2 linked regions of the Lytechinus pictus genome follow. The protein of the gene in region 2 purifies or fractionates together with the protein of the main gene of each other region. This does not show direct contact. Links are inferred from orthologs where the notes say so. Each region holds a gene or a part of one and is shown on either strand. Other genes may lie near its edges.

Evidence for each region.
Region 1: the proteins of cyclin-dependent kinase 7-like (region 2) and CDK-activating kinase assembly factor MAT1-like purify together in Drosophila melanogaster (affinity purification with western blotting; 3 studies listed by BioGRID, with this or other methods). This does not show direct contact. The link is inferred for Lytechinus pictus from reciprocal best matches to the Drosophila melanogaster genes Cdk7 and Mat1.

The regions. Positions count from the first base shown.
Region 1 is NC_087251.1:44,919,163-44,927,273, forward strand, and holds the start of CDK-activating kinase assembly factor MAT1-like, read right to left. Parts: upstream 3,801-8,111; 5' UTR 3,723-3,800; coding exon 3,634-3,722; intron 2,006-3,633; coding exon 1,853-2,005; intron 674-1,852; coding exon 600-673; intron 170-599; coding exon 66-169; intron 1-65.
Region 2 is NC_087249.1:7,302,592-7,310,904, reverse strand, and holds the start of cyclin-dependent kinase 7-like, read left to right. Parts: upstream 1-4,704; 5' UTR 4,705-4,905; intron 4,906-8,313.

The sequences.
Region 1 (8,111 bases), on a different chromosome or scaffold from region 2:
ATTTGGTCGGTCTGGAGTCAGTTTCGTCGGTATGACTGCGGCGTCGTTCATGAATAGGACCTCACCTTCATCTGCCTGTTCTTGGTGATCAACTCTTTGTTCTCTCTTCTGTAGTTTTCAATCTTCTTCCTGGTGGCTTCCATATCTACTCCATTGGTCAGATTATAAACTTTGAAACAAAAAAGAGCAATGATATATATGATCAATCATATATAAGATCAATCAAGAAATGACAAAATCTACAAAACATAAAAAATCAAGCAAAGCAACAAGTGAAATTATGGATAGTACTGTATAATCTTAGGAAAATTCAACATCCAACATATTTAATAATTATTCACATGGACCTGTGCAGACTGGTACATTGTTGAAAAAAAATACAAATACCTGTATGATTTCACATCAATTAAAAACACAAGACTTAATTCCAAATGTTTACCCACAATGAAACATTGTAGCAGACACTTTACATCAAAATAGATGTACATAATATCATTGTCCATTCGCAAATCTTTGTCAGGAATGTTCCCAAAGATAAGCAATATTCAAACTGTACATGGTTTATTACTTCCACCAAGGATACTGTAATGTTAGCTCACCAATATGCTCTATGTCTTCTAAATAGTCATTATATTCTCTCAACGTCTGGAAGTCACCTTCCTGTTTGTTAAAGCTGAAAGATATCAGAATCAGAACAGTGTGTGGTATTAAAATTAACAGTAATATGACACATCCTAAACATCTGCAATCGGACTGGAACTGTACACCGCCAATACAATTTCATATGGGTGTAATTATTACCAGTGATTAAAACTCGAGTCAATTTTACAAAGGGTCAAGTGCAAAATCTACATACTCTTCATCTTTAAGACAGCACATTATTTCTTTACACAATGAATACTAATCGACCAAACAAAATGCCATCATGAAACATAATTAGAATTGGTAGGTAAATTGAGTGAGTTGATGTGGATAGGCAAACCAGGGACACAAATTTCAGAAAAGTTGCCCACAGTGACCAAATTGTCAGCTCTGACAATTTTGGTTAAAAAAACTTGGTCTCAATTGGATGAACAGAATGGTCTCCGTTAGTGCTATTTCTATAGTAACTGTCGGAGAATCGCACATTGTTAGTGCTGACAAGCTTCATGAAACAGTGCCCTGTTCATCACCATGCTTTTTTCCCCAAGTCAATATCCTGTTGACTGAGCACCGAGTTAGAGATCTCATTTACATGTACAACTACATATACTAGTACAAGAGACACTAGGTGATTTCAAGTCCGGTGTTGGGGTCGGAAGCACAAATTGGACTGCGTTTCCTGGCTCCAAAACCTATTCTGAGTTTACACAAATGATCACAATATTGACAACTTGCCACACAGTGAGTGACCTTTCAGGACCAACTTCATTCTATGTTTGGTGCTATGATTATATAAAAATTGACCTAACATGAATACCAAATGGTCAGCACTGAACTCCAAGGCCCGTATTCTGAAGTCAGGTTTAACTTAGACTCAGGTTTAAAGTTGTGGTTTAAGTATGGGAAGCCAAAAGTATCAAAATATTTTATTAAGTTGTACATTTCTTATGTTTACTGTGCTCTTTCCTGATTCATCGATGGTGAAGACAATAATCTATATATACTTCCTGGATAATTATGAATGATTTGTGAGCCAAATGAGCTGAAATATGATATCTCTACTGTCAGTGATTTATGTAACAATTGGCTGTCCATACTTAAACCACAACTTTAAACCTGAGTTTAAGTTAAACCCGACTTCAGAATACGGGCCATAATCACCTATTCTGAAGGCAAGATAGATGGGAAATATACCTCTTCACATACTTACTCTTTCATCACTCTTCTCCTAATGTCCACTTCCTTTTCAATGATTGAATCTTCAAAGAGTTGTACTCGAAACTGGTTTCTCCTCAGAGGTGTTTTACACTCGGGACACGTCCCTGCTCCTCGTACAAATAACAGCTCAACACAGTTATCACATCTGAAATGACAAGATAATCATGATTTTTCTTGACCTTTAAATAAGAAGATGAGGGATATCCAGGTTGTAAAGCTAAACCAAGAGAAATAGATTCCCATTGCTTGCCTCCATTTTTTAAAAAGATTTGTCATTTTCCCATGCCATGGACTTATTATTCCGGATATTGGTCATATGTTTGACATTTCATTATCAATGTAAGATAAGCTTAGATATAAAACAGGGCTCGACATTAGCAGTGGCCCAGGCCAGGGCAACAAAAATGAGTCGGGCCACCAAAATTCTGTAAAAGCCCACACTTGGTGGCCCGGTCGGGCTTCCAAAGTTTTGATGAATTGCAATGTTTTATTTTGTTTTGGGTTCACCGAATTTGCTTTGCTGGCCACCAAGAATATGATATTGATGATTTTGGTGGACCGATCGGGCCACCGAGAAAAAAGTTAGTGTGGAGCCTTGTTAATAATAAGTTAGTCCACTCTGGTGGTATCACATCTAAATTCTAAGTAAAACACAAGCAAGTAAACTAACTTGTAAAAACATATCTTGTGTGTGTGCAAATGCACGTGATACACTCACACTAGTGCGAGATTAGTATTAGTATACTAATTCACACTAGTGCGAGGTTAGTATTAGTATACTAACACAGCACAAAGAACCGCATTTGGCGGTGTAGGGCGCATGCGCGAATTTGACAAAGTCTATATGCGCTATAGACCAAAAGCTTCGGTCTCTGTTATGTTGGTTGTTCAGCTGAACTCCGTTGGCTTCACTCACCAAATACAGAGACCGAAGTTCTAGCGCGATCTGTACAGGGGACTCAATGGCCATATGTTTATGTGTATTAAGTTCGGATAAAACAGGGCAGTAAAGTTGCGCAACAGCCGGGGTAAGTCACTGTTTTTGTTCCTTTTAACTTGATTTTCCCCGTTTTTTTTGCAATTAATGCCAAGAGGGAATATTAATTTGCATTTCGGTCGCGTTAATTTTCAAAAGTTTGATTCATTAAAGACAAAAATTGAAGAGCCCCGACAGGGGAATTTTGCATTGTAAGTCCCCTAATGGTGGCTGCACGATAGCGAGCCGTCTGTGTATGAGGAGAAATTTAAAAAATAAAAAAATGTTAAAAAACTCCTCAAAACAGACGGCTGCCAGCTGTCTATATGCGCTAGTGCTATAGCCTCGGTCTCGATCGGCCATTTTGTTTTGAATTCTGAAAGAAGGAGAGCTACCGTGACAGAACTTTTCGTTTTTTGAGGTTCCAGTCTGTGCCTCGATGTCAGGAGGAAGCTGCCACTCGTTAGACCTTCATCCATATAGACCATATTATAATAGTGGTAAGTGCTTAATTTCTGTTTTAACTATTTACTCTTTAAATGATTTAGACCATACCTCATGCTACTACCGTGGGGTATGGCGAATTACACGGTAAGCCCCTGGGCTCCGGCCCGCTGAGCTGCGCGGGCCGGAGCTCCCTGGGTTACTGACTACTGTCTATCACTACACTTGACTTGGTCTGATCTTGGCACACACGATTTTGAATGCATCGGACTGAACCTACAAATATAAGTTCCTGCAGTGATCTTCCTAATTTCCATCCATATTCTTACAAAAAACATAGTCATTATACTTACAGTGTGTGCCCACACACATTCACCATGAGTTTCAGCGATGGGTTCCGATATTTTGTTGTTTTACAACGTGGACACATTTGTTCATCCATGATTGGGAGATTTCTAGCAGAAATTTATGAGACAAGTAAAGTATGATACAAAAAACTGAAAATACTTCTAACGTAGATGGCGCTATTGAAAAACAGCACGGTGATGACAACACCATAGAGATGTATATATCTCTGTGACAACACCGATCTCGTGACAACGTGCGAAGTGGCATAATCAGATTTTCCTCGGGAAAATGTGCCCCCCCCCCCTTTTGTTGGAAAATCCTGGATCTTCCCCTGGTGTATATCATGTATATAAACAAAAGAAGTGATCAAGGCATATTCTCATTGGCGGCACCAGGCAAATGGGGGGGGGGGCAAAAGAACATTTTTTCTGGCAAAGGTGGACACAAATTTTTTGGGCTGTTTCACAAAATCGAGCGCGAAGCCCAAGTTCAATTTTTTATACAGTTCCAACTGACTTGAAAATGGACCTGATAAGGACTGCTTGCACTTACTCATGAAGATGATATCTCACCAAATAAATAATACGAGCGTGAAGCGCGAGCTGAAAATTTATATTATCTCGAGATGATAACTGGACGTTATAAGCACTTTTGTAAACATGATCAGGATAGTTATTTAACTAAACAATTGATGCGAGCGCCTAGCATGAGATAACAATTTGTTTACCTTTTTGTATATAATTATGCAGGATGTGTATCTTAATAAAAAAAAAATTGAAAAATCGAATCATGAGAAGAATAAGCCCCAGGGTATCCTACATTGAACGGATCATTTATTTAAGTCAACTGACAGCCACTGCGAGCGCGAAGCGCGAGAGGGATTTTAATTTCATATAATGACCTGAAAGATTTCTGTTAGTGACTAATATTGTTAGTGGCTATCAGTGAATGAATGAGAACATTTAAAAAATTAGAATAGTGAAAATGCTATTTTGGGAGCATTTTACAGCTTGAGTAGGATGCTTATGACAGCATTTACTATATTTATTTAGTTTTCCAAATTTCTGAGGGGGGGGCAAGTGGGGGACAATCCTAACTGGGGCAAATACCCCCCACCCCTGCACCCCCTTGGTGCCGCCACTGTATGTCCTTTATATTTGTTTTGATTATGATTTACAGGAGGTGAAATAGTTTTTAATTTTGTTCACGCTCAACATTTATTATTACTGTGTATTTATAAGGTACATTATGTTGCTTAAAGGGTACAAAGCCAGTGGCTTACCGTGGACCACGGCATGGGGGGCACCAGCAAAATTTTGGAGTCACTTAGTGGGCGCGCCAAGCGCGCTCAATTACCAGGTATACTGACCTAATAGACACTTTAAGGACTGTGCCATTAAACGGATATGTATCTCACTGATCAAATAATGCGAAGCGCGAGCTGAATATTGTTTATATTCAGATCCAAAAAGGGACATTATAAGCAAAATTGTGTAATCATTATACGTTCCTGTCTCGCTAAACTAAACAAAATGCGAGCGCGAATGGCGAGTGGAAATCTTTGTAATATTGACCCCAAACAAAGACATTTTAAGGACTATTTTTTAGGAATCCATTAAGAGTATACATATCTCACCATTGTCATCTAATGCGAGTGCCAAGCGCTTGCTGATTTTGTTAAAATTACATCTAAACACATGTATGACATGAAGCACTTTTTGTAGTCAAGGTAATCATGACTCAACTTATCATACACATCTCACTAATAAAATATTGCGTTGTGCGAAGCGCGAGCTGAAAATTTAGGAAATTCAGACCTGAAGAGGGGCATTTTAAGGATTGTTTGTAGGAATTCACGAAGATTTCACTAATCAAATAACAAGAGCGCGAAGCGCGAGTTGAAAATTTGTGATATTCAGATCAGAAAAAGGGACATTTTAAGGACTGATTTTAGGAATTCATGAAGAACAGACATCTCACCGATCCACTAATTCGAACGTAAGCACGGACAGGAAATGTTTTATATTCAGACCTTAAAATGGGGCAATCACTTTAAGTAGTCATGAAAAAGAAGCATATGTCACTACATAAAACAATAATAACTCGAGGTGCGAGGAAATATATTTGGTGTATATTGACTTGAAAACGGGATGTTTTAGTACAACATGATTATGTATATCTCATTAAACAGACAATGCCTAGCACCAGTAACGACGAACACATTTAGGCCCTGAGCAAATTATTTTTCATAAAGTTATGAAAAAAAGTTCTTATGTAAGATAACATAATATATGTAATATAACATTATAATGAACGATAATTTCTTCTTTCCCACTTCGTTTCTCTTCCTTTCCCCCTCTTCCCTCGTTTTTTTTTTTTTTGGGGGGGGGGGGCGTGCCCGCCGTAGTTACGCCACTGTACAAAGCAGCCACCTCCCTCGGCCCATACATAAAAAGAGAGCATAACGTGAAATAAAGAGGGAAACTTGCAAGAGATAAAAGAAAGAAAGCGGGATAAAAGTGTTGTTTTTTTATTCATTCGTTTCCATTTCCCGCCGATTTTCCATCTATCACGGTGGTGGCGTCAAATCTTAATCAATGACATTTTTTTGGGTCATCATTACCTTTTTTTCTGTCACATAATCATTGTCAAAATTAATTTGCGGTCACTCAACTTTGACCATGCTGAAGGGCTAATTGTTAAGATTCAATTTTTCAAGATTATTTTGAAATACAGTCTCTATTCCATAAACCAAGATGTAATGGTTATCAAGTAGCGTACTGAGCCAAAAACTTTGAGGGGGCAGATATGCCGGTCAATATTTTCTAAAAAGCTACAAGCGAGAAAAATGTGCGAGAAAAAAATATCTTTTTGATATAAAAGTCTAATTGTATGGTGCATATTTCGATAAAAAAATTCAGAAAATGAATGTTATATTTCACAGTCTTTCCCTCTGTTTTCTTTTTTTTTTCTTGGTTGTGAAAATCTTTTGAGGGTGGGGCCTTTCCCCAAACCGCCCCCATCTGTATGCAACTGTCAAGTATCAGCATATAAATGAATATATTTCAGGTCACTACTAGGCCAACGTAAGCAGTAATTTCAGATCAATAATGAAAAATGTATGTTTTTTTATTGTTTGAAAATTTAGTAGGCCTTGAGTGAGGTAGTTATCTGAAATTATATAAATACATAAAATGATACAAGTACAAGATCAAAGCTCATGGACACAGGTTTTTATTTTTTCCCTTTTAATTCGAAAAATTCATCATGTTAATTAAGGGTGATATTAGGTTAATAAGTAGAAATTTTAGTACTAAATGCGCACATCCATTCATTTTTTAATTACTTAAAGATCATATAAAGAAAATATGCATCAAGTATATGATATAAATGTAATCTTCTAGCTACAAAAAAAGTATCAGAGGCAACGAATTCATGCGTCAGACGACAAATTATTTTTAAAATGCGATAGGGAGCAAACTTGGAAAAGTAAAGGGGCAGCAAATATGATTATTATTTTTGTCGGGGGGGGGGGAGGGGACTCGAAAGCGAGGGAGAGAAGCAGCTGATCTTATCACGATGGTACTTTTGCATTTTCAATATTGTAATTATAGGTTTTGGTGAACTCTGGTAAATTTTTATAAGAATTTTAGCAACAAAACGACTTCCACTTTTTAGGGAGTGGGAGGGGGGCCGGTTTGCCCCTACCAACGCTGGATACGGTCGTGGACGTAACCCACATGACCGTGCAAAAGGGTCTAATTCCTCATACATACCCATTTCGGTGACACTCGTATTGTAAAATGATTAACAAAATAATGTATTGTATATACAGCTAAAATTAATGAAATATTTCTTATTCGAGTCCTTAGACGTGGTTGCCGACACTTTTCCCCACAGTAAAATGACCCTCGCGTGTTGGCCTTGAGTTCTCTTCTGCTTCATAATCTCAATACCTGAACCCTCCCCCCCCCCCCCCCGTTTCAGAACATCCTGGCGCTACCCCTGACTATTATTATTCTCTTCTCCTCCCCCCTTTTTTTTTGGGGGGGGGGTCCCTCAGCCCCTGGAACCAATGCCCCTGATAAAAGCATTCTCCGCTCATTGTTTTCCCCGTAAGATTTTGATTAAATTTTTTTTTTTTTTTTTTTTTTGGGGGGGGGGTTAGTTTGGGGTAAAATTTTATATTGGCCTAGTCCACTACATAAAGCGTTGTGTTCGAAATCCTCATTTCTCGAGGAAGACCTTTTCTCGCAGTTGGCCAAGCTATTATTCAGAGAGGAATTCAGGGATGACAAAAGGGCAGTAAGTTTTGTAATTATGCTAGTATGACCCTGCTGCACCCCCACTCTCAGACTGCACCCCCCCCCAGTGGCGTACCTAGGATTTTCCAGAAGGGGGGCAATTTTTTTGGAGGATATTTCGTCCGAGAAAAAATTTCACAAGCAATAAAAAAAAAAAAAGGTCTTCAACAACAAATAAA
Region 2 (8,313 bases):
CTATATTTTTTGTTTTGTAGTGATCTTTATTATTCATTCAAATAAATTTCATACATACATAATCAAGAAAATATAGAACAAAATGATAATTGCAACAGTGCAATACACAAATTAAATAACAGTGTAATAAACATAGCAGGCAAATTGTATAAAAAAAGAGACATAATCCGAACTCATGCAAAAATAACATTTCAACAACTTATATATGCAGCTATAAAGCAAATAATAAAACAAGACGTAACAACTATGCAAATTTAAAGAATGAATGTATATGAGCATTCTCCCGTCCCATGGCCCCCCCCCCCCCTATCAGACCCCTATATTCATGTACCAATCATGTTTCTACGATATCATTATTGAAATATTTCTTATGACGTTTAATCTGTTTTGTATATTTCTATATCTGTATATGTTTGTTTTTACGGTGATTATTTGAAAATGGAGATACAGAGACTGAAACGAATATGATAGATGACTATTTAAATCAATCTTGAGTCATCTCCCTCTGATCCATCAATGTATAATTGCCCCCAGAAAGCGGACGAAAACTTAGGAATTAGTGATATTCCGGATACATGAGAAACAAATCTACATTGTTTAAAATATCGTTTAAAAAATGTCCTCGATCAAAAATTATTTCTTCTTTCAATTGAGACCGATCCTCATTAATTCCCGTTTTGCTCTTTGAGAAGAGGTAAAAAAAGAAACACTTGTGAAATACTTCATAGCGGTATGCAGAATTTGTTTTCCAACATGTCCAAAGAAAGTTTAAAGCGAGAAAGTGAAGCGACCAAGCTTGTCATGGACGCTTTGCTTTTTAAAATAAAAATTTAAGGATTTCCACTTTTTGCACTTGGTGACTTTTGTGAAAATTTTCAGTGATAAATGTAGGTTTTCAAAATTTCTGGTGGCAACTGCCCTTCCACTGCATACGGCCACGAATACTTTATGACTATGTCTAAAACAGAAATGCTTTTGGTTCATGAGATTTTGATGCCTCAATAAATCAGTGATATTAAAAAAATGTATCGACAGCATTCTTTCAAACTTTGGTTTCCTGGAAAAATCAAGCTGATTGCTGCCATATATCTATTTTAAGGGTGTAATTTAAGCGCCTTTTCTATTTTAAATAGATATGTGTACATAACTTAATTTAAGAATCCAAATTGTGAAAGAGGTGTTCACCGGGCGTTGTGCAAATAATTTTCTCAATCATTCTTAGTGTAAATTTTGATGTTCGGTACTAAATTATTATAATTGTGCATAAGATTGTATTTTATTCGTATTATATTATTTAAAATAGATGCTGAACAAAACAATAAAATACATACTCAAAACATATCAAAATAATCTTAAACAGCCGGGGACAGAGGCGTCGATCGTTGGGGGGGGGGGGGCAGGGGGCGGTCATTCCTAATGGAAATATTGGGGCAAACATATTGATTAGCCCCCTAATGATTTTGACAACTATGCAATGCAAATGAATGCAAATGAAAAGCATTGGTAAGCACTATCAAATCATTAAACTTAGCATAAAAATGAATTTAAACAAGTCATGTAAAATTAAAAATTTTCGGCGCAAATCGCTCGTAAAACTAAATCTGGCGTGCCGATACTTTTGGACATTTTTCAGTCTTGCCCCCCTCCCAAATAATCATTGGGGCGATTCCACACTAGAACTTCAAAAATATCATAAATTTCAACATGCTTTCAATAAGTCATAAGTAGTGTAATATTTTACTATGATACCTAAATTTTATGAAAATTGTGGGTTTTAACCAAAAGTGAAGTCAGATATAGTTTTTTGGGGGAAAACAATGGAATTTTCAATAATTTTGCTAATTAAATAGTCAAGTACAAACACTGCCTGAAACGATTATTGGCAAAGCACGAGAAGATTGAAAATATTGCCGATCAATGGAATAATGTATCATTGAATGGTTCCAAATAATATCTACAACATTTTCATGATCCATAATAGGGCAGCCCTGATTTATCCGAACCTATTTTTGACAATGTCCCGTACGACACATAAAAATGCAAAAGTTTTTCCTACAATTATATTTTTGATGATGCAATTTCACAAAATCAGTTTCTCTATCTTTGATCCATGGGTGATCGATTTATCCCATAAGGATCTAGTTACTGCCTTTCATTTTTTTAAATTGTCCTATTAAAAGTTGTCCCGTACGACACACAATATATACTGCATTTAATTGCAGGATTTGGATTCAGAAACTATAAATAGTAGGCCTATTTTAATTTAAGTAATTGATTTGACATAAAGTGAACTGAAAAAGTGCTTTTTTATCTCCATAGAACATGAAATATAAGTGATTCTAACCATTTTAATTGACTTTATGTAGGTTTTTTCTTTTGTGAATCCCTTCAGCTAAACTGGTGATTTTCACTGGTCAGAGCAGGTTTATTTCTTTATCATTGAGCATCAAAAGAAAACCTTTAGAATTGATTCACCCTAGCCTGGAAGATGACTTCCTCTTGCATGCTAATGTGAAATTATTATAAGATGTAAAAAAAAATATTTACATATCAATCATCTATTTGGACTTCTCTTGATGATCACTAATTTTTTTATGTATAGTATTGAAACTTCTTACTTTTTTCAAGCTGTAAAAAAAATCTGGAAAATAAGACAAACCATGTTCCAAAAAAAATCTGGAAAATAATACAAATCATATATGGTTTCATTAATGCAGAAAGGTTTGAAAAAGTAGAATCGCATTATATTTCTTGAGAAAAAACAAATATGTTGTGGAATTACAAGTGACAGTTGTGACATATATCATGTATACATTTTATATGAAAAATCATAACATTTTAGCCCCATAATGTACACAAACAGTTTCGTTCATTCGTTGTTTAAATAGTGTATTGGAAATCATCAATTAATTCACTAAAATATAACTTCACACAAAACCTCAAGTTTTTCAGCTCGTTAAAATGCTGTGAACAATTGAACATTTCCCATCATGAAAAAAAACAATTGCTCCCGATTGTATATACATTGAGGTTACTTAATTATATTGTCCTGAATGACTACTTATTAAAAGGCTTTTCATTAAAAAGGAAGAATTTAGGGGCAATGCTCCCCTTCTGATTGATAAAAAGTTCATTGTTTTATTCAGGCTGTCCAGTACAACACGCAAGTGCCTGTTCAACGCACAATTAGTGTCCCGTACAACACACAAAATTAATGTCAATTCTTTCAATTCTTTTTATTTCATTTCCATTCAAAAAACATAATACAAAGTAATATAAAGTAATACAAATCAAGTACAATTTTACAGAAGGGCATTCTTACTTCGTAAAAAAAAAAACAGAAAAAACAGTGTAATATAGAGCATAAATGGAAATGAGGGGGATCCACTAAAAAGCAAAGCTTGTAAAGTGTGGATCCCCTTGGAAATGAAAAAAGTATAGTAGACTTATTCTGATATGCGTACATATATGTATTACAGGAAAGAAAAAGAGAACAAAAGAAATCATACGGATGCAAATATAATTACTGAACTAATGCAAAGCTTTTCACACAATGTCCCGTACGACACGCAAGTATCCCGTATGACACATTATTTTGTTTATGATATATTGACAGAAATATTCAGCCAATAGCGGTTTCTAACATAATGAATGTCTTTAGTTTGATAGGATTATCATTATCATCAGTAAAATGAAGTGATTGAAGAAGTCAAAGAGACATAGATTAAGAAAGTTTGGCTTCAATTTAGAAATGACCCGTATGACACATTTTGATCGAGTGTCCCGTACGCCACAATGTTCTCGAAAATTGTAATTTGCTTTATTTATTCATGAATGTTTATTATACAGGATGTGAATTCAAGTCATGTTAAGTCTTGGTTTTCCTAACACTCTGGTAGTACTTGTTGATCACCTTTACTTACTGGAATATTTTTTTTTTCTTGTCAAAAAACTGTCAAATGTACGTACTCTAAATGTCCCGTACGACAAGTATAGAATCACCCATTGTATATATTGTTCAATTTCGGTTTCTTTTTTCTAATATAATGATATGGCTATATTCAACTCGATGATAAAAATACAGAGTATTTTGGGAATATGGTCATCTTGAAATAGTAAGGTTTTCTGTCTAAAATTTTGTTTCATAGTTTGTAACAAAAAGAGAATATCTAGAATTGTAATATTGATAATTTAGAAATAAATTGCTAAGAAAAAAAAGAAAGTATTCTTAGATGTATATTCAACAATAATTTTAAAAAGTGGAACAGGAATTTGAATGTGGGTTTGGGGATGCGTGATTGCTTGTGTGTGTTTAATATCTCAATCGCCAATTGTTTTAATTTCATGCGCATCATATCTCAGACTATATGGACGTAAGTGACATGTATGAAATACTCTGATTGAAGAAATCATGATCATAGTGACCACGATGACGACGAAGATGACGACAGCGACACGGCAATTAACCCCGCCTCCCCAATGAAAATAATGCGGGCCCCATTTGTGGCCAGCTCATCTTCCCTAAGAGGCGTACCCTGGATCCGCCACTGATGATAAACGATGATAAGGATGGTGAATGATGATGATGATGATGACGATGACGATGATATGGCGGTGGTGGTGGTGAACTGGTGATGATCAGATGATGATGATGCGATGATGACGATCGGATGATGATGATTATGATGCGATGATGACGATGATGATGATGATAATGATGCCCGGTGATGATGATGATGCTGATGATGATGAATTAAAGTTGGAGAGTTTATTCGATAATCATGGGAATTGGCCAGTGGCGCCTCTCACCGCGTACAGAGCTAGCGAGCCCGGCCGTTTCTCTGGCGCAGCGCCCAGGGCCAGCGATAGATAGCCCGAGTGAGGCGTGCGGCAGATATAGTCTAGGTGATTGGTGAAAAAAATGTTCAGAAAATGGTACAAGCATGAAAATCGGCACAAAGGTAGAGTAAGTTATTCTAAACATTTTTAGCAGGGGGTGCCGACGTGAGTTCACCGAACATAGCAACGGTTGCTAGGTAACATATTTACCTTAGTAACTGAGCTTAATTGGGCTAAAGTAACATTTTCATAAGCGATATGTCATACAAATTTTAATCTAAAGCATGTTCCTTTGTATCACAACAGTTTTGATCCATTTATTCGTAGCAACGGTTGCTAAGGGACCCTCTTCCGTAGCAACAAATTCTATATCTTAATTCAGATCATTATAATCTACTCAGAATAGCTCAGAAATTAAATCTGGCCCATAGATTCATCATGTGATGAATGTTTCCATAGGTAGACCTAATGAGTACCATAGCAACCTTTGCTAAGTAACATTTCCCACGGTAACAAGTATTATAGGGTATCTATCAATGATTATAATTTTTTTTAAATCGCATCTTTTCTATTAAAGCATTAATACAATGTATACAAGCCCATGCGAAGTACCAGTTGCTATTACGTTTTCTGTAGCAACCAATGGTTAAAGGCAGTATGGTAAGATTATTGATGTGTAAATCATAGAGGTACTAATAGATGCTTAAAAAGTAAAACCTTGCACAAATTAAACTACCTCATGAAATGGTTCATAGTTCCAAAGACGATGTCTATGGGTTCCATAGTATTGGTATAATAATACTTATTGCATATCAAAAGAACTTCACCTTTAACACCTATCTTTATCCATTTTGAAACCATATTATGGATTAACCTAAACATATGTAAAATATCGACCCTTGGAATAATTCAACAAAAGGTGGTTTCAAACCGCCTCGATCACAAGAATCCCCGTTAAGTTACGATAACTTTTAAGGCTTAAAAATACCCATATTCCTGCATTCACACCGCCCCGAAACATACCCTTCAGGGGGGGGGGGCGTTTCATGAAAGGGCTTGTCGGACATTTTATCCGACAAGTACTAGTTTATCCAACAGTTACCATAGGAACAGTGCCTCTCAGCCAATCAGAATCAACGAAAGATGTCAGATCTGACAACTTGTCGGATGAAAATATTGATGAAACGCTCCCCAGGATAAGTTCCTGCATGAAGTTACGAGCATGAGCAGTATGTTCTGATAAGCAGGCAAGGCGCGATATTCAAAATCACTAGCCCAGCAGCCACCCACGGCGCCCGCGCCCAACGACACGCTGGGCTAAAAGTTCCTGTAAATTGCTTTCACATTGCCAAAATACCTGCGACCTTAGATAAATCCCCACGAAAGTTCTCGTTATTTGGCCAAGTACCTACTATTTAGCGGGTATTTTCTTTCGGGAAAATTTCGCGTAGTTTGCTTTCACATTACCAAAATACCTGGAACTGACGAACTTTGAGGCGGTCTGAAACCACCTAATATCAACATTTAGCAAGAGGTCACTCTTGTATAAGAACGGTTACAAGAACTCCCCAGGAGGTCATGGGTACTAAAAACCTAAATAGCTCTGATCTTGAAGAGATAACCACGAAGAGATGACCACCAAGAATTGATTGAGTCATATAAGTTTAGAATTATTTCAAACACATAAATCTTGTCAAAAATTAATTTTCAAATGAGTGATTGGATACCACTTATCCCTTGCTAACAGCAGTCGTTCGCTTGAAAGCCAACACACTTTGCCTTGGTTTACCCACTCCCTTCCGTAGCCTGCAATGAAGATCATATTAGTTCTCCATGTTGTTCCCAAACCAAACGCCATGGGTAGGAGTTGATTTTGCCCAGGCGTTTTGATCAATCCTGCGCAGCTGGGGGAAAGATCTGTTAGAATTGATTGCGACCCTTCAGTTCCGTTTACTGGCCTGTTGGCCTGGATCCTGCAGCTACATGATCTATCATGACTTCTGCAGAAGTTGATTTGTACCTGTTACTTCCGATTCCAGGTGTTTTGACCTGGAACAATCCTGCAGCTCCACGATCTATCATGACGTGAAAGATCTTGCTAGAGGTAATTTAGACCCGTCAGATCCGTTTTTATATAGGCATGCTGGCCTGGATCCTGGAGCTAAATGACTTGATCCTGCCGAAGATGATTTGGACATGTCCGTCCTTTTTCCGGGTGTTTTGACCTGGAACAATCCTGCAGCTCCAGGACGTGTCATCACGTAAAAGATTTCGCAACAGTTGATTTGGACCAGCCAGTTCTGTTTTCAGGCGTGGTGGCCTGGATCCTGCAGCTCAGGGCTCTATCATGAGTTGAAAGCTTGTGCAGAAGCTGATTTGGACCTTTCTGATATTTTTCTAGGTGTTTTTACCTGGATCAATCCTGCAGCTCCAGGACTTAGCATCACTTGAAAGATCTGTTAGATTCGATTTAGACCATCAGTTCCGTTTCCAGGGGTGTTGGTCTCGATCCTGCAACTACATGATCCATTGTGACTTCTGTAAATGTCGATTTGGACCTGTCAGTTCCTATTCCACGTGTTTTGACCTGGATTAATAATGTAGCTCTGGGATCTATCATGACATGAAAGATCTTGCAAGAGATGATTTTGACATGTCAGTTCCGTTTCTAGGCATGTTGACCTGGATTCTGCAGCTATATGATTGATCTATCATGGCTCGATCCTGCAGATCAGTTGATTGGACCTGTCCTTTCTGTATCCAGGTGTTTTGACCTGGATCAATCCTGCAGCTCCAGGATTCATGATTTGAAAGCATGCGCATAAGTTAGTTTGACCTGTTAGTTCCAATTGCAGGTATTTTGGCCGGGATCTTGCAGCTTCAAGACCGATCATGACTTGATAAATCTTGCAGGACTATGCTTTATCACCTACGTATATGAAGTACTTATGATATCAGGTTGGCTCGACGCGATCCATACTCGGCCACAGAACATTAGCATGAAGTTCTGATATGCTTCTTCCTTCCGTATACCTCCGATACTTCTTGGCATGTCCAACTCAGATGGAAATGATCCTGCTGATGGCACTACCACCTTGTCTCGCAATATAATTTCCTTATGAAGAGAAATGTTTCTTACACTTTGATTGATGAACAAGTAATTGTCCGACCGAAGAGGATGATGACTGTAACTTTCTTGATATGTTCCTCTGTTGCATCTGCTATTCTTTGTCGAGCATACTGCATGTTTCACAGTGGCCTTGCTTTTCCGCACTTATGATTAACCCAGACAGTCTTAACTTAATTTTTTGACTAAATATATGCCCTACTCTGAGAAGGCATGTGCGACACATAAAATGTATGTTCGATTAATTCGCTAGAATTCTACCCAAAGTCCCAAGCTATTGGAAACTTACAGTGTAAAAATAATTTATTTATTTTCCTTCATCTAGAAACTGTTGCAAAATATCATGT